Mus musculus: one gene and its partners. The protein of the gene in region 2 purifies or fractionates together with the protein of the main gene of each other region. This does not show direct contact. Links are inferred from orthologs where the notes say so. Each region holds a gene or a part of one and is shown on either strand. Other genes may lie near its edges.

Region 1 (5,872 bases), on a different chromosome or scaffold from region 2:
TGGTAAAGAACACTGGCTGTTCTGAGGTCCTGAGTTCAATTCCCAGCAACCACACAGTGATGCATGACCATCTACAAAAGGGATCTGATGCCCTCTTCTGGCATGTAGGTATACATGTAGACAAGAGCATTCCTACATTAAGAAAAATGTCCTCTCAAAGCTTATGATTGACTTTTTTTTTTTTTTTTTAAGACAGGGTTTCTCTGTGTAGCCCTGGCTGTCCTGGAACTTACTCTGTAGAGCAGGCTGGCCTATGAACTCAGAAGTCCACCTGCCTCTGCCTCCTGAGTGCTGGGATTAAAGGCGTGCGCTACTTTACTTGAAGCACTGAATGTAGGATGAATGGCACTTGGGTTCAGAAAAGATGCAACGCTTTAATGGGGCAGGGGGTTAGATTCTAGCCAAGGAACGCCAGCTAGGAAAGAGCTGGTTGAGTTGGTGTGGGTGAGGTGGAGCTTTCTGTGGCAACAAGAATAGATAAATAGTCCTCCAGGGTGTAAGAGGGAGTACTTTCATGTTTCAAGACTAGCTTGGCTGAGCCCTTATCAGAATAAAACAACTGACTTGACAGAGCTCAGGCTATGCGGCCTTGTCTTTTCTGCTTGCCACCTTCCTTGCTCTCAGAAATGCACTTTTCAATTTCTATCACTGTCTGAACAAAGATGCTTGGCATTTGAAGCACAGTTCTGAGCACTCAGCTGTGGTAGCTAGAGAGCAAACAACTGTATCCAAATAAGGGAGGAGACAGACATCACACAGCTCTGAGATACTGAGGAAGAGGGAAGCCATCACTGGACCCCTTCCATGCCAGCTCTCCCTGCCCCTCCTGATGTGACTTCCTGGTGTGGATGAAGACTTTTGCTGGCTTCAGGCTTATAGGCCAGGCAGAAGCACTCCAACATTACAGCGGTAATCAGAGTTGACTATGGTAACTCAAGCCTGGTAATACAGAATTTCACCTGGAGGTCAAAGGCTCAGCAGATGAATCTTAAGTGCACACTTCCAGTCACCTGCCTAAGACTGGAAAAGCATCCAGGTAAAGCATCTTAAGGTAAACTAATCCTGATCATGGGCTACCTGAGTGCTCATAACAATTTTCAACATTTCAAGCTAGCCTAGAGGGCCCATTATCAGACTGCGTCCAACAGGACACTGTTTGTAACCCACACTCCCACCTGCCCCAGCCTATGCAGCAGCAATCACAACAGACTCCACTAAGTTTGCACAAAGCACTGGTTTATTAGAAAGCTCCTTCCCCTCACTTTACAGCATATACATCTCTATCATATGTGATAAAGTTAGATACAATCTGTTATGCTTGTATGTAAGGATAGGTTATCCCCCCCCCTTTTTTTTTTTAAAGTTTTAAAATCACTATTCTGGAAGTTAAGGAAAACTACCTCCAGGATGGCAGAGGCGGCCAGAGCATGGCTAGATCTACAACCTAACGAGAAGCAGCACAAAAATGTTAATACTGTTTTATTTAAATATTTACACGGGCTGAAAGCAAGAAGAACCAGTCCCTTCACTTCAAACAGATACCGTTTTTCCAGGGCTAGTTATCCTAAAAGTGATACTTGTAAGGGGACAATGAGCAGAAGGTAGGAGAAGCTCAGGCAGGGACGGGCCTCAAGTGCCCAGCACTCACTTCCCTAACACAGCCCACTCTGCTGGGAATTTGAGAAGGCAGGAACAGAGAACCTTGGCCTAGGCAAGCAGGGTTAACAGTCAGTTGACTGCTTAACCAGTTCTAGTCATAGGAAGAGCACTAACAAAGGAGATGAGACCTGCATTACAAGCACCTTTGGGTCAGTGTTAAGGAGGGCTGAGAGCCTGGGGGAAGGGCAAAGGGGAGAGGGATGGACAGACTTCTGGTCAGTGTCACTGGAGAAAAAAAAAAAAAGGAACCTCTACTGCTGAAATAGCAATCGAGCTGGGCAGACGGCACAGAACTTTGAAGCCAAAAATCTCTCTACCTATAAACGTGCTCACCTCCCAACAAAGAGAGAACTGTCCCAACTCTAGTATCCTCTGGTCTACTTCTATTTTAGTGTCTAGCCAACCCACAAGGCACATTTAAAAAATTGTCAGAGGGGGCTAAATACTAGGAAGGCAAATAAGACTGTCTGGAACAAGGTACCCAGGGAAACCAAAGGACCCCTTTTCCCAGACAATCACCGAGTGTCACTGCTTCCAGAGAATAAAGCTGTTGAACCAATCCTCCCCTCCTCCATGGAGTCCACGGTTTCTCTGTATAACAAAGCACGTCAGGGAGACCACTGCAACTGTGCATCCTCCTGACAGCAGCAGCCGCCTGCTGCTCATCAACCCGAGAGTCCCAGTGCAGGATGAACCAACTACTGCAAATTATTTAACACTGTCCCAGCAAACAAAACAAAACAAAAAAAAGTGTCAACATTTTTATATAGTTCATAACTTCAAAAAATACAGGAGGTTGATAAAATATACATGCTTAGTCATTTTTGCATCTAGCAGAAAACAAATATTTTATTTTTTTTTCTTTTATAACCTTTAAAGTTTCTTAATTCAACTAGGGCAAACATATTTACAGAAAGCCACCAGAACAAGGATCACTTAAAGAGCTGGATGTAAAAAATATTATTGCAGTATACTACAAATACGGAACCTTTTTAATATGAGCTACAAAAAGCAGCATTTATGTTTATAGAGTTCAGTGCAATTTTACATTAAAAAATCCTATAAATTAAGAAGAAAACATCAACATAACAGAAGGAAATATACCCTTCAGACACGAGCTCCTTTCTGGGAAGCACATGGGTGACCCTATGTTCAGTGTAGCTTCTACTCACGATAGGATCTTCTTTTCTGGGATATGTAGATGCCTCTTCTGGGATGAGGGGCATGAGGACAGTAGTGCCAAATGCATGGCTCTGTTTGTAAGGAAAGTGGATCAAATTGCAGCCTGAGTTGCTTTTGGTTCTAGGTTAGACTCCCTCTTCCACCTCACCTGGGATAACGTGTCACAAACGGATAGTCAAAGACACTGCCGAAAAGTGGAGTTTTCACCACTGAAGAGACAGCCTGGCCTTTCTCGTGGCACTGAGAAGGCAGGACCAGATGGGCCCATGGCAAGTGCTTTGGTGACAACCCATTAGAGGAGGAAAATGTTTTGAACTTACAGAGGGGAAGTGCAGAGGATCAGAAAGTAGAGGGAGGAAGGAGGCTTACTTGACAGTCTGGAGATGTTGCTGCAGAGGAGTGTGGGTAGCACTTACTGGTGTTCCCTAGCTTAGAAACACAGGAGGGAGGGACTAATAGAAAGGGGGTAAATATCCCTGATAGTAAACCCAAAGCAAACCTCAAATCTAAATCCATCCCTGCAAGCCAAAACTCATTTCTTTGGCTGTCAAGACACTGCCCGTTCCAGCTTTTACCTGCTGGTATAAATGGCTCAACACCCCCAAGGGAAGAACAGGCCACCTTCCCTGGCTCAACACAGGCTTCCGACTCCCAACTCAAGTCCCATGGCTGGGAGGGTGCTGCAGGTCCTGACCTGAGAAGATGGGGTGAAGCAGTGGGTGAAGATGGAGGGCTGTGGCAGCTGCTGCAGCAGGCCGTGGGGCAAGCAGGGTGGGGTAGAGGGCAGCGTGTGGGACGGGATGAAAGGTGAAGGGCCCAGGATGGATGGCTGAGGCAGGAATTATATGGATAGGGTGGCTAGCAAGAAAGGTGGCAGGGTGGCCAGGGATAATTGAGTGAGTGAGATGGGACAAAGAAATAGGGGTTAGATGGGGCTGGGGAATATGATGTACTTGAGCAAGCGGCTGAGGGTGGGGGTGAGGGTGAATGCCAATGGCGGCAGCAGCGGCTGCAGCATGATGCTGTAGGATGGCATGCTGAACAGTGGTGATGGAGGTGGCAGAGGCTGTGGCTGGCTGCTGAATGTGGATGGGCTGCAGGGCTGGTGTGGCTGGAGCTAGGGCGGTGGAGGCTGGAAAGGCCTTCACTTGTTTGGCCAGAAGCTGCTGCTGGATGTGCTGCTGTGCAGCCTGCTGGAGCTTGCTGTACTTCTCCATCTCCTCAGGGGTGAAGGTGATGGGCTGGCTCTCGAGAGGAGCCAAGGAGGCATCCTCAGTCCCATCTGTTGATTCAATACTAGGTTCCCCACTGGGAGGTGCATAATTGGGGAAGTGCTCAAGGTCTGGGGCTATAGGCAGCAAGCTGGATTCCACAGGGCCTGGTTGACTGCCACTATCCAGAGACTCCAGAGTATCCCCATCACTGGGGTCCGGGAGGTAGTTATGGGAGATGGCTGGATCCCCAGGGTAGCAGTCAGTGTGGGCTGGGGTGCCTAGCGGAGCCACAGAGTGATCAGCAGTAGCTTCTTCAGACTTTGGCTCTTCTGGGGGAGGGTCTGATAAGGGACCAGCTGCTTCCTCTGAGAACTGATGCCCAAATGGAGCATCACTACTCCTTGGGGACCCTTCTTCTGGCTCTGAATGTTCCTGCTCTTCTCCCCTTTCTAAGCCAGACTCTTCACATTTCTTATTGGACTTCCGGGTAGCTGGAAGCTTCCCTATCATTGGAAGAACAGGCTTATTACCAAGAGACGGGGGGAGCTTAGGCCCAAAGTAACCTTGTGGGGGGTTCTTGTACTTGAGCCCAGCCTTATTAGGGGTGGCCAGCACCTCCTCGCACACATTGGGTTTCCTCTCCACTTTCCTGGACTGGATCTTCTCTAGCAGCAGTCTGGCAGTAACAGAATTCTTATCTTCAGGACTGCAGTCACTTTCTGACCCCCTTCCTGTGCCAGTATTGCTATTCTGGGAGGGCAGGCCTGCTCCTTTACTGTCATCTCCTCTGCCATCTTCTTTCTTTCCAGGACCTTCTCCCCGACCTGATTGGAAATAGTGGGGGGATTGAGAGCGGTAGATCTTTGAACGAATGAAATCCCGGCGGCCAGAGCGCCTTTCCTCTGGGCTCTCATGACCCCATGAGCCCTTTCTGGAGCCTGATCTCTGAGAAGGGCTCCTGGTGCTGCGGCTCCGGTCCCGGCTATAGCTTCGGCTTCGCTGCCAGCTGTGGGCTGTGGTGCTGCGACTTCTCCTCTTGCTTCGACTGCGACTACAGCTGCTACTGCGGCTTCGACCCCGGGATCTTGATCGCTCCCTTGTATGACTCCGAGATCGGCTTCGGGACTGGCTGCAACTGAGGCTATAGTCATCATCAGATGATGAGTATTTGTGTCGTTTAGACCTGTGTTTGGAGCTGGTATAGTCTGAATCATCTGAATCGTGAGAGCGCTTAGAGTGCCTTCGTGATCGGTCGCTATAGTCACTATAGCTATCATCAGAGTAACTGTGCTGTCTACTATAGCAGCTCTGGTCTGAAGAGGCATCAGAGCTGCTAGAATAAGAGCGCCGGGAGGAACGATGTGAGGAATGGCGATGGCCAGACCGAGAGCGGCTACGAGAATGCTCACTACCGGAGTCTTCATCTTCCTCCTCTTCTTCCTCCTCCTCCTCTTCCTCCTCCTCACTGTACTGGGATGGAGACTTCTGGTGCAGTCGGTGTGAGGAAGCATCATCACTATCCTCATCACCACTACTGGGTTGGCTCCGATGGCTGGACCGGCTGCTATGTTTGGTGTTAGCTCTCCGCTGGCAGGAGGAAGTTGGTGGTTCACCTTTGTGTTTCCTCCCACTGTGATCTTGGCAACTGCTACCACCCCCACCATCATCCTTCTTGCCACTGTTTCCTTCTTCAGCAGGAAGGGATCTCCGCTGGGAATCATCTTGAGCTCGGCGCCGCCTTCTCGGTGGTGCCGGGCTGCCGCTTCCAGGAGGTTCTGATTTGGGTCCGCGTTCAGAATCAGCTGCGGCTGATGATT
Region 2 (6,641 bases):
AGCACTGCTACAAGACCTGGTACGGCGTTTGTGACAGTGGTGGGCATGCTTGCGGGTACGGTACGGCGCCCTCTCTCGTGACCGTCTCCGATGTCGAGAACGTGAAGACCCATAGCAGTCCTCTCCAAAAGATGGGCTCCGCTCTTCACACCGATACGTATCACTGTCACGGTGTTCCCGGTACCTCCGCTGGTAGGGTATACGATCATGGCTGCCAAGAGGGGGTAGCAAGATGAGTCAAGAAGGCCTACTAGCCAGGTTCCTGCTGCAGGGTTCCTACTAGCCAGCAGGCAAGAGGCCTTTGGCAGGGCCCCTGCAAAGGCTCTCAAGGAAAGCCTGTTAGAGCTGAAGTATCCAGGCTGAGGGGGAGTGAACAGGGCAAGAGAAGGTACAAAGATACAAAGCTTATTCTCCAGAGCCTTAGGTAATGACAGTGTCCCTCTAGTGCCACAGTGTCCCTCTAATGCCACAGAGGGAGGAAGAAGAAGGGGAGCACAGGAAGGCCTCCAAGAATAGCAGAGTTGACCAGGCTGCTACAACTGTAACTTTGGTCTGGGGACTTAGATAGGACTTGGGACCAGTCTTTCAAGGCTAGGGTGATGTTCCTACTTCTACTGAGGAAGACTCAGGGGTAGGGTACTGGCCTAGAAAATACAGAGGGAGAGAGACCACTCTGACAAAGAAAGAAAGGATGACAAGGAAGGTAACTTCTGTTGAGGCCAGGAAAAGGAAGCAAGCACAGGCAAGGATCCCAGAGAGGTCAGGGCAAGAATCTACGGGCGGCTGGGCAGAAGCAGCCATCTAAAGGAGCCTGAGAGCAGCAGAGCTCTGGGCCATTCTACTCATCTAGCTGAGGAAAGCTTCTTCCCACCCAGATCCCACTCACCTTCTGGACCGTGATCTCCGTGGGGGAGGCTCCCTTCGGGATGGGTATCGTAGTCGACCTTCATGCTCCCGACTGTAAGACCGCCTCCTCTTCCAGCGGTAGCTCAGGTATGGGTCTGGCTCTGGGGAACGGTATCGCTTACAGTGATGCATCTAGGCCACAAGAAAGAGAAAGCCCTGCTCAACACACAGCTCACTGCTTCCAGCCACAGGGCTGCCTGGTGCAGCCAGGTGCTCCTGAAGAAGAGGCCCATTGTTCTGTTTAGGGGTAGCCCCTCCCAGGGGTTTATGAAGTAAAGAAGAACTCTGATGTCACAGTGACAGAACAGCAGACAATGGGTGGATGACTCCCTCCTCTGCCAAGTGAATAAACAAACAGGTGCCTCTCCAGCCTGGCCCAGGGGCCTGAACACTCAAACTATGCAAGCCAGGGCCCAGATACAGAAGTAGATGTAGTGGGATGCTGAGCACTGCCACGGGGATGCCAAGGACAGGAGGAATGGAGAGGTTTTTTGCTCAATTTCTTCATGCCTATGGGATCCTATAACCTAAATGTTCTAGAAGCCTGGAGCTAATGAACTGGTGGCACAGAGCCAAAGTACTAAACTGAAACTTGCCTGGCTAAAGCAATGAACTGGACTCAACTCAAAGAAATTCAAAACTCTTCAGTCAGTGAGGAACCACAGTAGAAATGAGAACTCTGACCCTTGAGCAAAGACACAATGTCTCACCAATAGTCCCTACTCCTATCAGGTTCCAGCCAAGTGGGCCTGGGCCCAGAAGGCCTGCCCAGCTCTTGCTGACCCATCCAGAGTATCAGCCCAGAAAGGAGCCACAATCAGGTATCTAAGCTGCTTGCCTGAGGCAAATTTTAGTGGCCCTCAGACCAACTAGAGTCCCATACCAGGTGCTTCCTCTTTAACAGCATCATAGCCATCCCTTCTAGCTCCTCCTACTCCGGCACTCTTTCTTGTGCCCTATCTCTGAAGGAGCCAAGAAGACGTGGCTGTAGGTCTACACTGGGAAGTAGGACAAGTATTCCTTAACCACGGAGTACTTAGATCCAATACCGGAGACTCCCAAATGGGATCAGCAGCCAGTTCAGAGAGATGGCTACGTGAGTCTGGCACCGTTTTCACCCATATCCAGCCCCTTCACATTTTGTCCACCAGATGGCCAGGCATGAGAGCACAGCTTGTTTGCTTTCCAAGCCTTCAATTGCTCACACCCAACCTCTAGTAGTGCATAGTCCTAGGCTTGCCTGGCCAAGCACCTTTTAAACAAATCCATCAAGGCTGCTCCATCTCACCAGCACAGTCCAAAGATGAAATAGGTACTTGTGTATGAGCAGGATTGGGAGGCAATTTATGTAAACCTCTGGGAGCCCTAAGAAAGGCACTGTTGTTTTCACACTTATCTGAATGTCCCCCACCCCATGACCTTATGACAGGTGCTCAGGCTGTAGCCTGAAAGCAGTAGCCCATGTCTCACCAACTGACCCAAAAGACAACCTACTGGCCAGGCATACATCTTCCCAAAAGGCAAAGTGGTCCTGCCCATCCTCACCAGGCAGACAGAGCACCCTAAGCATCCTATCTGGAGGATGTTGTAATGCGGTCTAATCTACAGCAGACCAAAATTTTCCTTCTGGGACCTAAGTGGATTTCTATGACCACATATGTCTACTTGAGTGGAAAGTCACAGCCTCAGAGTCGAATGCCAACCTGCTCCACAGCAATACCACTTCACTGTTGCCTTTAGGCAAGTTATTAAACCACTTTAAGCTTCAGCCTCCTCTTGAAACAAGGGAACAATAATCTCTTACAGGCTCCATAGGAATTAAATGTCTGCCCTATAAAGTCAAAAGCCTAGCACAGGTTTGGGCCACAAGAAGTACTAAAGACAGCCTTTCATTAGCACTGAGAAGGTTCCGGCTAACACTCAGGGCTATGTTGAATGCCTTAATTTATAATTCCTTCCAAGGGACCGGGTAGGAAGTTTTGGCAGGAAACCTTGAACTCGATCCCAGTGTTGCCACTTACTGGCCCTGTGGCCTTATACAAGTCACTCTAGACCTAAATTGTCATGCCTGAAAAATGAAGATAACACCTCTCATACTGGCAAAGATGGCCCAATATTTTGGCCATGAAGTACCACACATAGGCAGTAATGGAGATAATCTCCCTTGCAACGCATCCCAGGCAGGTGAAAAATGGGAGCTACCAGGTGGCCCATGTCCTCCTCCCAGCCAGGTCGTTTGAGCCTATTTCTCACAAATTCTCCGATTCCATGAGTCCTCGGCAAAGAAGCTTTTTAAAACGTAAAGGCCACAATTATGCTTTGGGAGGCTCTGCTCTGAACAATGAAGAAAAAGGCAATGTGACCAATGAGACCAAGTTACTGGATGCCAATTTTTCTATGAGCACAGGCCTCTCTGGCTTCTCATTTGCTGTTCCTGGCTAGAGAACCGGGCTAACAAGAAGAGCAGCCAGCCAGGTCAGCGGCTGCCCTCCCGGATTCCTGCCACCCAAGCGACCCATGGTTATTTTTGGCTGGCAGTGCCCCACCACTGCAACCTCAAACCTGCCACCTCGCAATCTGCGGCTGCCACCGGGCAAAAACGCTCCTCCTTTTCAAGGGCACGGAGGAGGGAAACTGGAAGGCCGCCAACTCCGCCTTGATGGGGGCTAGACTCTGGCAATTCCCACCCAAGCATCAGGGCACCCGCACCCGGAACTAAAGCATAGAGGCTCCCGACCGGACCGAGGAGCAGCCTGGACATTTGTACTCCTGGCTTGGTCTGGCCCATTCTCCGGGATGGAGCGGTTCCATCATAACAAAACACGGAGGGGGCCGGCGGCCCGCACTCGAGTCCCTTCCTTCTGCCCGAATCCCAGGGATCTCAGAGCCCCGTTCCCCGTAACCGCCAAGGGAAGACCCGGCGACCAAAGGGATGGCCAGCCTGGGCCAGAATCAAACTCCAGGCGGCGCGCGAAGGAGATCTGCGGGCTAAGCCTCGAGCTCGGGGCAGGGAAAGCCTTTCCAGGATAGCCTAGGTCGGACGCGACCCAGCCAGCGGGCCGGCGCGGGACCCAAAGGGAAGCCTCCCAGCCGGCTCCGAGGCCGCTGGAGCTCCGCCTCCAACACCGCGGGAACCAGAAAAGGGGTCTGCAGTGACCGCCCTCAGGGAGAGAAGCGGCGGGTCAGGGGTGAGAGGTCGGGACCGCGGCCTGACGTGGGCCGAAGAGGGAAATAGGTCCAAGCCGAGACCCGACCGGGTGGCACGGTACCCGTACCGGCGTGGCCGTCCCCACCGACTCACCCCAGCTGCCCGGCCACGGGCTCGGGCCCACACTCACCGTCTCCCAGGCTCCGGCTGCGGCTAGGCCCCACTCCCCACTCCGAGCGCCTCTTCCGCTTCCGGCTCTGGCCTCCGCCCGTGGCAGCACCGCCCCCTCGCGTGACGCAGCCGTCGGCGGCCCGGGCTCGACCCGGCCCAGAGGCCTGACCGCTCTAGCCCCGAACTCGCAGACTCTGGGGGACTGGCCTGCCCCGCCAGGGTCCGGGCGACATCGGTGGAGGTCTCTTCCCGGAGGTCCCGGGAGCAGCCTCGGGCCGCGGCCTGCCCCTCTCCGTGTGGTGCTGCACGTAGGCCCCCGAGGCCGCATCGGTGCGCGACCACGGTCTGAGGACGGCTCTGGGCCTAAAGGAGGAACCCACCGGACTGCCAGGCTGGGGCCGCTTCCCCGCCGCGGCCCAGCTGTGCTCGCCAGCCTCTTCCTGCGCGCGGAGAGGACCGGCATTGTTCTCCCGGGGCCCGGGAGGGCGCTAGAGACGAAGGCGGTCGGTGCGCCCGGGCAGAGGAAGGCGGGCGCGACTCCGCTTGCGCGCAAGAAGCAAACGACACATTCTGCTCTCGGCTTGTGCGGGTTTTTTGAAAGTCCTGGTGCCACGCCCCAGCTGGCTCGAGCGAGCAGTCTCCGGGAAGATCCCCGCGAGCCTCGGCGGTGGGGTCTGACGGAGAAATCGTCCCCTTCCCTTGAACACCTCAGAGCGTCTTGCTGTCAGTCTTGCTAGGAAACCCGCGCCACACAAAAGCCCCGAGCCGCGCCGCGCTCCCGCTCTGCCACTCGAGTCACTCAGCCCGTCCTTTCGCTGCGGCATCGGGCGTGAGGCACCCAGTCTAGACCCCTCCCACCTACTGTCCAACGCTTTGTCGTGGCAGGATCATGAGGTCTTATTTTTTTTTTTTTCAGAAGAGAATACAAGTCGCGGTCCTTTGGTTGGGCCTCGCTTTGACAGCGTCCCCGCCCCCGCGCGTCGCGCAGCCAAGCGGGCGGGTGCCGCGCCTAATTGCCCCACGCCACGCGAGGTCCGCGAGGCTGCGGCGGCCGGCCAGGGCGGGGCATAGCTTTAGGATCTTGCTGACTCAACGCGGACAGCCAGGGTTTCCCAGGTGTCCCCTCCCCGTACGGGATGCGCGCCCACCAGGTGCTGTGGCTCCCTAGGCCCCCCTGCAGTGATGAAACTGCCTTTAGAGAGCTTTGCCTCTGGTTCTGACGTAATGGCCCGGCATCTTCATCACCAACCAAGTAAAAGCGGTTGAGTTAAAAAGCTGGGTGATTATGTTTTGCAAACTCAAACTGACTCATAGTCACCTTCCAACCCCACAGACATTCAACAGCCATTTCAACTGCTTCTGCCCGAGTCCTGCCCCATTGGTTTCCAGCCTAGAAGCCAAAGATTGAAATATCCAGGCGTCAGAAGATGCAGCTCCCACCTGAGGCCAGGCCCACACTGATAGAATTTCCTTCGTTCACAGGTTTCTGTGGTGTCGTCACCTCCTACCAATGCTGCCCAGCCATGTTTCCATGGCTACGGGAAAATAGCATCCTCCAGTTTAAGGCCGACATCCTCAAAAAGTTCCCATCTCCTGCCCTACCCCAAGTGTCAGAAATGAGATAATTTAGACCGTCTTCCTGCCTACCATCCTAACAGGAAAAATCAGGGCCATCTGCCTACAGCCCCCACTCTCTCTACAGAGAGGACTTCTTGCTGACAGCTGATATAGGAGCTGTCTCCTAGCCCTGTCCTCTCCAGAGGCTGCAGCTTGGCCTTCCTCCTGGATGGTCTCCCATTAGACCTTCGTCCTCTTGTCTCTCTTCATAAAACCTAGCAGAAGAAAAGAACTGGTTCTGAAGTAAAGTTAGGTTGATGAACGTCTCCCGGCATACACATCTCATCTCTGTGGTACTCTGTTGAGAGGAACCTTGGAACCGCTCCTCCACCCCTTGCTCAGCCCTGCGCTCCCCCAGAAGGAGACTTGCTGCTTACCCACTGCTCCAAAGCACCAGCTTCCACCAGCCTGTGCCCTGGGCCTGTCAAGCCTTTTCTGTGTGCCTGGTCTGTAGCTTGACTCCAGGGCACCAAGGTGATGTCCCGTTCTGCTTGTACTCAACTCCTACAGCTTCTATTTCTCTCTACCTTTCTTTTCCCCTCCCAGGTTCGTGGGCCCCAGTGCTCTCTCTTCTGTCTGCCCTTGAATTCTCCTCTGCTATATCTAGCTTTGTCCTGCCTGGAATGAATTGATGTACATTTGAGCCTCAGCTCTAAAGTCACCTCCCTGGAAAGTATCTTGGGAGAGGTCAGGTTCTTCTCTGTGCTGTGATGCCACTCTCTTGGCTCTCACCCAATACTCTGCACTTGATCTTAGCCAAAAGGCCGAGAAGCGATCACCCAATACTCTGGAAGTTCAA
Region 3 (5,872 bases), on a different chromosome or scaffold from region 2:
GATGTTTTGAAAGATCCTGTCTATCAGATTACATGTTAAAAATAATGTGTTCCGTATGTGTGACTAGTGATCCAGATTTTATCCAGATTGGTCATTTTAGGAAGATTTGAAACATGTTGAAATATACTTATCACCCCTGAAAGGCTCCCTGCAACACAGGTGATTGGCCTCAATGACATGGAAGGGACAGCTCCATTTCCAGATCCCTGCTCAGGGCTCCTATCGCCATCTGCTTGGCTGCCCATGAGTCATACGTTAGTTTATAACTTTGTTACAAATACACACTGTCTCTGCCAGTGTTTCTTTTGAGGTGACTATGGCCCCATAGTTCTGCAGTTGTCCCACATGGTGTTCTTGTTCCAACCCCCTAATGTAAGTCAGTAGTAGATGTGACAGCATTTCTCAGTACAGAGGCTCATGAAGAGTAGCCTCAGGTCTCTGCTTTATAGTGCTATAAAAAACAAAACAAAACAAAACAAAACAAAACCCAGGGGCTGGTGAGATGGCTCAGTGGATTAGAGCACCCGACTGCTCTTCCGAAGGTCCAGAGTTCAAAAGGTCTGAAGTTCAAATCCCAGCAACCACATGGTGGCTCACAACCATCCGTAATGAGATCTGACTCCCTCTTCTGGAGTGTCTGAAGATAGCTACAGTGTACTTACATATAAATAAAATCTTAAAAAAAAAAAAAAACCCAAACAACAAACAAAAACCCCAATAATTGTGTTTAAAGACTGCTGGTAAAAGAAAGAAAAAGCAAAGAAAACTTGGGTTCCCTCCAAGTCCTTTTTTTTTTTTTTTTGAGGCAGGGCTTCACTGTGTTGCCCTAGTTGTTTGGAATTTGCTCTGTAGGCCAGGCTAGCCTCAAACTCACATACATACACTTGCCTCCAGAGCCCTGTGCTTAAAGGTGTGCCAACAAAGCTGGCTTCTGGCTTGGGTCTCCACACTACAAGGCAGAGACAGGAGTCAGCCACTTGCACAGCATCACTTGGCCCAGCAGAAGACTGCCCGCTCTGAACACTCATCGAGAAGCCCTTCACTTGATGTGGAGACAGCAGGAATTTGGAAGTGGGCTGGCAAGCAATGGGCACAGCACTCCGAAATTTCACTTAATGAGTGTGGGTGTCAGCCCTGGGGGATAAAGCACTGGTTCCTGGGTCCTGAGGAGACAGGGCTCTGGAGAGGCAGTAATTCCCTGGGGCAGCTGTAAGTGACATCTTATCACTGTGGCCACAAGGCTCAGTGTTTTCTCCTCATCAGGTTCTTGGGAGGGCCGAGCCTGGTCATCCATGCCGGTCTGCAGGGCCTTTTTGGTACCCAGCCAGTATCATTTTTTTTTTTTTTTTAGATTTATTTATTATTATATGTAAGTACACTGTAGCTGACTTCAGACGCACCAGAAGAGGGCATCAGATCTCATTATGGGTGGTTGTGAACCACCATGTAGTTGCTGGGATTTGAACTCAGGACCTCTGGAAGAGCAGTCAGTGCTCTTACCCGATGAACCATCTCGCCAGCCCCTCAGCCAGTATCATTAATGGCATCTTTATCTTGTTGCTCAGTTAATAGTGGTACTGATAAGTAATGATATATTTCTTGATAAAACCTTAAATATTAAACATTTATTTTGAGGATATTTGCTGTGAAAGCTGCTGTTTTAATTTAAAGAGCGAAAATGTTTTAAAACATTTTTAAGATTTGTTTTTATTTTTTATTTACTTATTTTATTTATGAGTACTCTGCACATGCGCACGTGCATGTCAGAAGAGAGCATCGGATCCCTGTACAGATGGCTGTGAGCCACCATGTAGGTGCTGGGAATTTAACTCAGAACCTTTGGAAAAGCAGCCAATGCTCTTAACTGCTGAGCCATCTCTCCAGCCTAAAAAAAATTTCAATTGAAAATTATAATTAAAACAATCAGGAGGAGACTTGCCTTCATTGTAGTTACATAAAAGCAGCCACAGCACGGCAACCTGAGAGAGATCATCCAAAGTGAACTGGGGGATCTGCAAGGCCTTTCCTGTCTCACCTGTCAGGGGGGAGCGGGCTGGAGCCGCCCCTGTGAACTCTGACCTGGGACACACACACTCGAGCGAGCCAGGTCTGGTCCACCTCGCCTGCTCCTGAGGAAGCTCCACCTGCTCACAGCACACAGAAGAGGCCTCTGCATTACCTCCTGCACACGAACTCACTCTGCTCACTAATCCTCCTACAGAGCACAGCAGGCCTGTGAGAACTGAGGGTGCGTCTCAGCACAGGGTGCTGATGGATACTGGGTAGGTATCCCCACATGGAAAGGACTTAGAGACTCACACACCTTGAAGTACACAGTTCCCTTCTCTTTCACGATGGCAGCCTGCGTCAGCTTTTCTTTGGTGTCCATCTCCCAAGATTCTTTGGCCTGTGTAGAGATTTGTGGCGTCAGTTAGCTGAGGAGAGGAGGAAACGCAGCAGTTCATGCCTGGGGGACAGCAGCGATCTCTATGAGACCCCAGCAACTGTGGGCCGCTGCTGGGATACCAGCAGGCCAATGCACCGGTGTTCCACTAAGAGCACATGCCATAGCAAGCTGTGGTCTGACCTGTGTTGTCCAAGGAACACAAGCACGGAGCACTCTCACAGACTGCATTTTGAGGGTGACAAAGCAAGCCTCCCTCCTTAGAGACACTGGGATCGTAACCTGGAGCCCCAAAGCTCCCTCACTATGGGCTGCTGTCACGTTAGCAGGCTGTTTCTGTCAGGCTTGCTTTCCAGCTTGGAAGTGAGATTGCTACTTATGGTCCAGGCCAAGCTGCACGTGCATGGAGCACTTCTAAAATCCCAGTTCAGGCAGCTGTCTCTGAATTCACAGAACCAGATGCAGTATGGCCTCTAACAGGATCAGTTTGCAGGTGTGGACCTGGGGAACTTTTTCTTTTCTTTTTTCCAGACAGCACTGCATGTATCTCAGGCAAGCCTCCATTTACTACGTAGCTGAGACTGACTTCTGATCCTCCCGAGTGACAGGATTAGATGGCAGGCATGCCATGTTGTCACAAAGCACGGAGAAGGGTAGAGGTTCCACTATGGAAAGGGCAGGGAAACTCGAGGCCCCGATAGTCCAGCGTGGACAGAGCATGGGGTCATTTCAGAGGAATAAAATCGTAATAAGAAAGGCGGTCTCTGAGGGGAGCCACAGCTGAGGATGACAGCTTACTCAGCTTATGGGGACACCGTGCAGTACAGGTGGGAGCCTGCAAAGACAGCCCAGAGTTGGAGGCTGTCCGAGGAGGTACACCAGCCTGAAGGCCACGGCAAGTTCCCTCTCCTGTTCTTGGACACGTATGAGAAACAGCCTGGGTACGTTTGTTTCTTCTCCTTGGTTGCAGCTGCTGGTCCCGAGGCTGAGACACTGGGATTGTAACCTGGAGCCCCAGCGGAGGCCTCTTTGTAACTCCTGTGGAGTGTGCAATTCCTTCAGCACTGAAAGGCTGCACCCCAACTCCCCTAAGGAGCTGCTTGGCAGTACGTGAACTTTTTTGTCCTCAACTCAGGAAAAAAAAGTACAAAAAGAACAAGCCTAGGAACAAATACAGGAACAAGTCTTGGATTCTACCCAAAAGTTAAAAGAAAAAAAGAGGCTAACACACAGTAAAAAATAAGAACACCAGCTCCTCTCCTGTATCAACTGTGTTGTGTCAGCTTCCCACGCTCGGAGCAGAAGTGTGGGGGACAAGAGTCATGGATGAAGAAAAGCAAACACAGAAACAAACACTATTTAGCCAAGTCATCTACCGCACAGTTACAGGCACAGGATGAGAAGACCCCACACCACAGCTTTAGCGAAGTTGGGTTTGCTCACCTTCTCGAAGCTCTTAAGGGTGACCTCGTACATAAGCTCAGCATTGGGGTCAATGCCAAACTTAGGCTTCCCGGCTTCTCCAAAACCATAGCTGAAACGGAGAGGAAAAAACAAGACTCAGGAGGACTGGTATACTTCTTTGGTTTTCTGTGTGGAATCCCTGCTGTGGTTTCCTGAGACCTGCTGCATCGTGTTCTCTTAGCGCATGCTCTCTTAGCGCAGGCGCACAGTTCCTGTACTCCCTAGGACAGTGTGCTTAGCATGCTGTTCAATATCGATGCCTGGTTTTAGACTTTATTCTTTTCTGTTTGGTTACAAGGACTTTTTTCCTTTAAGCTTTATGAGCAGAAAGGACAGAAGAGTCTATTACTATAATTATTATAGTAGTAAAAATCACTATAATTCTGTTTGAATACTTTTAACATTTTTGCTATTTTATTACAATTGTTTTTACTGTTCTGTTACAGTTTCGTACTTGTATATAGAATTTCTCATTTTACCCCAGCTCCCTCACCACTCCCTCCCCCACAGGAACTCTTTCCCACATGTCCATGTGTACTCAAAACAAGCTTTTCACTTTAAGGAAGGGTCAACTTCCAAGAGTACTACCTCCAATCAGAAAAACTGCAGGGGGCAACACATTAGCAGAGACAACAGCTCTCATGATCCTAAAGTCTCGTGGCATTAAAGACTTTAAAAGGCACAAATACAAGGTGGTGGCACACATCTTCGATCCCAGCACTTGGGGGACAGAGGCAGATGGATGGATCTCTGTGAGTTCAAGGCCAGCCTGGTCTACAAAGTGAGTTGTGAGTTCCAGGACAGCCAGGGCTATACAGAGAAACCCGGTCTCGAAAAAAAAAAAAAAAAAAAAAAAAAAGAAAAGAAAAGGCACAGCTGGAGCAGAGGCACACAGAGCTGGGGAAGAACTGGGTGGCAGCCTTAACACCGTGCAGAGGGCATCACTCGAAAAGGGAGCAATGGCCAGTGGCAATGTTGGAAACGTAGCCAGGGTTTTTTCCCTGGAGTATGAATGTGTGTGTGTTGCCTGTGGTAAGGTCTGTCCCTCTCTTCGCTGCAAAGAAGGCATACAGATGGGTACTTCTCAAGTCTGTTGCTGAGAGCATGCTATGATTGGCAGTCTTTACCAGGGAGGAAAGAATATGACAGATGACCTGGCATCACTTTGGAACCATGTCACTTACCTGGATTGATGTTTAACCCTTCTTTGTCAGAGGAACATTAAGCAATGCCTAGAGTTGCTATTGGATGGCAGGTAGGTGTCAGACATATTACTGCACACCTTATGGGACAAGGACAACCCTCTTCTGCCACAACTGGGATCCACCACAAACATCCATAGTACTGAGGACATGAAAACCTGTCTAAAAGAAACTTACAGGCTGGAGAGATGGGCCAGTTGTTAAGAGCACTGACCTCTTTCAGAGGTCCTGAGTTCAATTTCCAGCAACTACATGGTGGCTCACAACCATCAGAAATGGAAGTCCAGAGTCAAGGCCTCTGGACGGCAGCTGCCTTGGAGGGAAGATACACTAAGGGCGTGGAGGGACAGCCAACCCTGCAGAACACAGCATTGTGAATGCCCTCGCCAGCTACTTCTTACAGGTGAGAGAGCGGAGGCCAGAGACATGTGCTTTCTGAGAGGTGATATAGAGGCAGAACCACATTCAGACCTTCCTGTCCTAAGATAACTAAGGCTGACACACACTGACCACTCTCAACAGCCTATGGTTTGTCTGGGACTGTTACAAAACAGGTATAAAGAAAAAGGAAGGAAAAAGTAGTCATCTATACTTAGCCTACATAGAAATCAGTCACAATATTTAATTATCTATTTGAGGAGAACAGCAAATTTTTAAAAATTGAGAAAAAAAATCTGAGGGTGCAATGTCTCAAATAGGGTACACCCTTGCCACAATATTCTAAAGAACACTACCAAGAAAAGATAGTGTTCCAGAGAGAGAGAAACTTGAATGCTTTATTAGTTTCTTATGAAAACGTCCT
Region 4 (5,872 bases), on a different chromosome or scaffold from region 2:
AAGGCTCAGTAACTGTCTGGGCTAGCATGGGGACCTAAGTTCCAATCCTGAGCATGACTGTCCAAACCAGGCATGGTGGAGACAGGCAGACCCTAGGAGTTTACTGGCCAGGCAGCTTAGCTGGCATAGCAGGGCTCAGGTTCACAGAGAGCCTATCCAAGGGCCTAAAGCAGTGGGAGAGAGGGCCACTGGATGAGATTCTCTTTGACTTCAGTAAGCATGCACTGTGTGCACATACATAGAAAAGACCAGAAACATGACTTTTTAAATCTCACGTGATAATGTCTCCCCAGTGAGATTGGCTACAACGCCCATCTAAGTCTAATTCTACAAGGCAAGAATACCCCGCTACTGACTGTGAGAATTTATGCCTGGCTAATCCTGAAAAACATGGAATTTTGATTACAATAGATATGCACATACAACACACCCCACTAGTCACAGCCAATCAATCACTCAGAATCAGAGACATCAGTGCTGACAAACTGTAAGGGCCAGGTGGAAGGCCTCTTTATACTCCTGAGGAAAGCGAGGCATTTCTCTCTAAGCACAAAGGATATTCTGTACTCCTTCAGTTCCTCTAGTTCTTCTTCTCGCCGCTGCTTCTCTATCAGCTCCTGCTGCCGAGAAACCTCATCAAGGAAGTTGGTCTCATCTTCGTCTAACCCTCTTACCATGTTTTCTGAGGAAATAAGTGAACAAGAAGCACTAAGGAGACTGAGACAAACAACCTTCTCTGACCTTCCCTCCCCACACGTTTATTCTGTGTTCGGTGCGTGTGCACATGCTCCAGGGCACACACGTGACGGCTAAGGGATAGCCCTTGGGAGTCGATTCTCTCCTTCCAACTGTGGGATCTGGGGATCAACGCAGGTTGTTAGCTCACACAACCAGCACTGGTACTCATGAACCATACTGCTGGCCGTTTTCCTTTTTAAACAAGCAGCAGATTCTTTGGGCAATTACAAGGAAGAATTATTAAACACCATAATTTTAATAAATAGCATGGCATCAAGTCAAAGCATTTCTCACATTACTAGAAATTAGCACAGAATTCAAATCATATCTTAAGCTCTAAGTCAGAAGGAAGGCAGAAGATGGTCTTTTATCCACTGAATTGAGCTCCTGGAGGCTGGATAATCAAGATATTCTATTGCTAGTAACAAAGATGGTTTCACGAGGCTAAAGTACATCAAAAGGCTCAGTGAGTCCCTCAAACGTCCATTTTCAGAAGCTTACTGAATTTGAATTGCTCCTCATACTCCTGCTGCTTCCTGTCTTTCTGTTCCTGCAGCCGTTCGTACAGAGACCGAGGGTCATACGCCTCCTCTGGACATTCTGAAAGGGACACGGGATAAAGGAGACACAGAATTTAGGTTGTTTCATATTATTTTGGAATCACAAAGAGTTGGAAAAATAGTTAAGTCTCTATATATCTGAGGGTGAAAATAACACAAAGTCTAGTTTCCCTTTGCACCTCATACAGAAGGGGGCAGGCGGTTTTCAAAGACAACTATTAATGTCACGTTACTAACTGGATGGGCAGCCAGTTCAAACCTATTAGCAGCATCTCAGTTCAAACTGCCCCTCCACTTGTAGCAAGCAAGCAACTAGCAGAATCTCCTGGCAGGCGCTATGGTGGGGGGAGGAGGGTAAATACGGAGTACTGGTTCTGCTGTGGAGAATTCATATAGCTTACTTCACCCTGGGAGCCTCTAGTGAGGACAGTTATCACCTTCTTGGCAGAGTTTTTGCGAAGATTAAAGAGTTAAATGAGGGGCTGGAGCGCTGGTTCAGTGGTTAAGGGTACTTGCTGCTCTTCCAGAGGATTTGAGTTCAATTCCCAGCAACCACATGGTGGCCCACAACTGTCTTTAACTCCAGTTCTAGGGCATCTGACACCCTCATACAGACACACATGCAGGCAAAACACCAATACATATAAAAACAAATTATTGTTTTTTAGAAAAAGGTTAAATGAATGATGTCCAACTCTAGGTCTATCTACGTACCTTTTGGGTCTTCTGGTTTTCGCACTTTCTCCCATTCTTCTTGCCTCCTTTTGCGCCGCTCATCTAGCTCTGCCTCAGACACAAACCTCTTTTTGATGACAAGGTTACTATCGTCCTCTCCATCCATAATGGTACAGTCTACAGAAAAAAAAAAAAAAAAAAAATCAAAGGAGAACTACAATTCAAATCCTTAGGAGCAGGGTAGGGATGTAGCTCGGCTGGTACAATGCTTGCCTAGCATCCCTGCACCACATACACCGGTGTGATAGTGCACACCTATGTTCGGCACTGGAGACGTGGGGTTTATTCTGGCTTATCAGACAGCACACATCTGTGCTATCCACAGTCACTGAGAGATTCTAGGATCACTCTGACATTGCGTTCCACAGCATGTCACACGGAAGCTATTTCCCTGTCGCAGCACTCTAGACAAATGGGCCTTCTGGGCTCCACACCTGTTCTCAGCTCACATCCTGCTTCACAGCTATAAGATTTGCCACCTTCTTTCAGCTGCCATCTCACTGCCTTGATTTACCTGTTCTTGCTTCCAAAGCAGATTCTAATGGAGACTCTCAGGTACTCAAGGCGCTTTAGCAGTCAAGTCCCGTCTATGAAGGAGGGAGGTGGCAGATCTAGGACAACAAGACACGAGTGTAAAGAGTGGAAGCAGAAGAGCCAGGCCCACCTGACGTTCAGCCCAACGCTCTCCACAGTAAGCAGCTGCTGCCATCGACCCTGCCTGTCGTCCCTGTGAAGCAGTGGCCCTCTTTACCCCTACAGGCCCGAGCCCTTAATGCATATACTGATGTAGAAGACACCAAACTTCCTCTCTTCTTTTTCTTCAACTCTTCGGAGAAGCAGGAAGAAGGAAATAAAGATGGGGACGTCTTTTCCTTTTAAAAGTCAACATTTTGGAGCTGGGGTGTAACTCAGTGCCATAGCACTTGCCTAGGATGTACAAACCTTGGGTTGCTGGCTTTTTATTTTTTTTCTGAAGAATTACGGTTAATCGTCTACTCAGACATATTCTGTGTTCGCTACAATATTACCAAAGAGGCACGAATGCAACCCAACCCAATGTCTATTCCTAGATAACCTTTGACAACCCATCTAACAGTTCATTAGAAACTAAGTCTGGGGCTAAAGAGAGGGCTCAGTGATTAAGAGCTCTGACTTCCTCCTAGTTCAATTCCCAGTCCCTACATTTTAGCTTAAAACTGTCTATAATGCTAGCCCCAGGTGATACACTCCTTCTTCTGGCTTTGGTGCATACATATTACCATATGTATGCCACAGACATACATGTAGGCAAAATACCCATACATAAAAAAATAAATAATTTTTAAAAAAGTCTGCAGCCTCAAAAAGCAACTAACAATTTAAAGCGCTTCGCCTGTGTTATGTACTTTTTGCATGTTATCGAGTTTCTCTGCATATAGAGCCCATGAGAAAGACTCTTCACAGATGAAGCTGACCCCCAGGCTCAGTGAGCTGCTCAAAGCATATAGGCAGCAAGTGGCAGAGGTAAGGATCAAGTCCAAACAGCCGGGCATGGTGGCACACGCCTTTAATCCTATCACTTGGGGGGCAGAAGCAGGTGGATTTCTGAGTTCTAGGCCAGCCTGGTCTACAGAGTGAGTTCCAGGACAGCCAGGGCTACACAGAGAAACCGTCTCGAAAAACCAAAAAAAAAAAAAAAAAGAAAAGAAAAGAAAGGATCAAGTTCAAGTCTGACATCTAATTTTCATATTCTCAGCTAGGTGTGATAGCACATGACTGTAAACCCTATGCTCATGAAGACTGGAGGAGGATCATAAGTTCAAGATGAGCCTAGAATACACAGCAATATTCAAGGCCAGCCTGCACTAACTACATAATGATACCTTAAGAAATCACATTTGCATCCATCTCCTCCTCCTCCTCCTCCTCCTCCTCCTCCTCCTCCTCCTCCTCCTCCTCCTCAACCACGTGGTCTCAGATAAACAAAGACATGGCTGGACATGGTAACCAATCCCTGCAGTCTCAGCCCTCGGAAAGTTAGGGCAAGAAAAGTGGGCTAGAGGCCCATCTGGCATGTGCCACGCAGTGAGACCTTATTTCAAAAGCCTAAGGGCTGGGGTCTTACTTTTCTCTTGCTGTGAAAACACAACGTGATTGAAGCAACTGATAGAAGGCAGGTTTTAATTTGGGGATCAAGTTTCCAGGGAGTTAGAGCCCATCACCATCAGGGTGAGGAGCATGGCAACAGGCAGGCAGCCAGGCACGGCGCTGAGGCAGTAGCTGAGAGATCTTACATCTTGATCCATAAACACAAGGCAGACAGCGAGGTAACTGGGAATGCAGAGGGGCTTTAACCTCAAAGCTCACTTCCAGTGACCTCCTTCAAACAGGCCTCACCTAATCCTTCCCAAACAGTTCAACCAACTAGGCGTTCAAATATGCGCCTAGAGAGACAGACCATTCTCATTCAAACTACTATGTTGGGAATGCAGGCTCTGGGTTCACTCTTCAGCCTGGGGAGAAACACACGAGAAAACAAGGGCACATCAATTTCAGCTATATTTTCAAATTCCAGTGCCCAGAATGCAAAGTTTTTGTTTGGTAAAGATATTAAAAAAAAAAAAAAAAAAAAAAAAAAGGAATTAGGGCATTAAAACCAAACATTCAAAACAGAAGAAATCATCTCAGCCTGAATCCATCCTACTGTTGAGGTTTAGTTCCATGTGAAAAATGAGAACTGTTGACAATCACTAGAAAGAAAACTAAGTCACCTGAGAGAAGGCTTTACCCCACCTGGCCCACAGTGCACTTCTTCAGATATAGGGATGTGGTACCGCTCGATGCCTGCAGCCAGGTACTCAGGACAAAAGCAGGATTACCTTGTCTCTGTGACTTAGCAGAATTCCTCAAGCTCTTTGGAGCAATTTCTAAGGAGAAAGAGCCAACAGCTTATGAAATGTCCCCAGCAAAGAATGTGAGCCATGCAGGCACTGGGGAAATGGGAGTCACGCTGGACCCTTGCTTTCTCCTTTCTACCATTTGCTGTACGTCTCCCTTCCCACCCTGTATCAAGTGTCTACTTTCCTCCCCCTACTCCTATTTCCTCCCCCTACTCCTAGTAAATAACTCACGACAGGACAGGCCCTCACAGCCTCCTCCTGGCATCAGAATCCATCACACACATCAAAAACAGCATCAGCAATTCCTATTTTAGACCTTCAAGACAGGCCCCCGTGCTCCATTTCCAGGGAACCAGCTCCCTCTCCACTTTACAGTTCTTGCTCTGAAATTTCTGTTCCTATGGAATCCACACATAAATTTTGAGATGACAAAAGGTGACTCTTCTCCAACACAACAAGGCTTTATTATAAAAAGGTAATCCTACTCTAAACTTGCTGCTTTTCAAAGGAAAACATCCAGTATTCTAATCTTACAAGATGGATATAAACGTGCTTCAAAGCAGTGGAACTTGCCTGGCTTGGTGGCACATGTATGCCTGTAATCCTAGCACAAGAGACAGATATAGGAGGATCAAGAGTTCAAGGCCACTCTTGAATACCTGAGACATATCTCAAAAAACAGGCCAGCAAATGCCTCAGAGAGTAACCACGTGTGCTGCCAAGCCTGATGACCCGAGTGTAACTCCCAGAATCCACATGGTGGGAGGAAAAGGAGACTCCTTCCTGCAAGCTGTCCTCTGACACAGTTACAAAGAAGTGATGAATGACCAGCCAAACTCTGAGTACTCTGTATAATGCTCACAGTATTTCTTCTCTAAAAACTATTCGGGTCTCTTGAGAATTACAATCTTCTTTCAGTCAATAACTACAGCCATATAGGTTGGGTATGGCAGCTCATGT

What was found.
Region 1: the proteins of Clk3 (region 2) and Gpatch8 purify together in Homo sapiens (affinity purification with mass spectrometry; 3 studies listed by BioGRID and IntAct, counting the BioPlex papers as one, with this or other methods). This does not show direct contact. The link is inferred for Mus musculus from reciprocal best matches to the Homo sapiens genes CLK3 and GPATCH8.
Region 3: the proteins of Clk3 (region 2) and Fkbp5 purify together in Homo sapiens (affinity purification with mass spectrometry; 3 studies listed by BioGRID and IntAct, counting the BioPlex papers as one, with this or other methods). This does not show direct contact. The link is inferred for Mus musculus from reciprocal best matches to the Homo sapiens genes CLK3 and FKBP5.
Region 4: the proteins of Clk3 (region 2) and Psme3ip1 purify together in Homo sapiens (affinity purification with mass spectrometry; 3 studies listed by BioGRID and IntAct, counting the BioPlex papers as one, with this or other methods). This does not show direct contact. The link is inferred for Mus musculus from reciprocal best matches to the Homo sapiens genes CLK3 and PSME3IP1.

Annotation. Positions count from the first base shown.
Region 1 is NC_000077.6:102,474,696-102,480,567, forward strand, and holds the end of Gpatch8 (G patch domain-containing protein 8), read right to left. Parts: coding exon 3,498-5,872; 3' UTR 1,220-3,497; downstream 1-1,219.
Region 2 is NC_000075.6:57,760,830-57,767,470, forward strand, and holds the start of Clk3 (dual specificity protein kinase CLK3), read right to left. Parts: upstream 4,286-6,641; 5' UTR 4,245-4,285; exon of another isoform or gene 4,208-4,244; intron 4,057-4,207; exon of another isoform or gene 2,159-4,056; intron 1,039-2,158; coding exon 887-1,038; intron 212-886; coding exon 1-211. UniProt on the Homo sapiens protein: Dual specificity kinase acting on both serine/threonine and tyrosine-containing substrates. Phosphorylates serine- and arginine-rich (SR) proteins of the spliceosomal complex.
Region 3 is NC_000083.6:28,408,187-28,414,058, forward strand, and holds part of Fkbp5 (peptidyl-prolyl cis-trans isomerase FKBP5), read right to left. Parts: intron 3,939-5,872; coding exon 3,848-3,938; intron 2,408-3,847; coding exon 2,324-2,407; intron 1-2,323. UniProt on the Homo sapiens protein: Immunophilin protein with PPIase and co-chaperone activities. Component of unligated steroid receptors heterocomplexes through interaction with heat-shock protein 90 (HSP90).
Region 4 is NC_000074.6:94,586,764-94,592,635, forward strand, and holds part of Psme3ip1 (PSME3-interacting protein), read right to left. Parts: intron 4,940-5,872; exon of another isoform or gene 4,806-4,939; intron 4,602-4,805; exon of another isoform or gene 4,410-4,601; intron 2,645-4,409; 5' UTR 2,548-2,644; intron 2,151-2,547; 5' UTR 2,140-2,150; coding exon 2,013-2,139; intron 1,339-2,012; coding exon 1,240-1,338; intron 683-1,239; coding exon 561-682; intron 1-560. UniProt on the Homo sapiens protein: Promotes the association of the proteasome activator complex subunit PSME3 with the 20S proteasome and regulates its activity.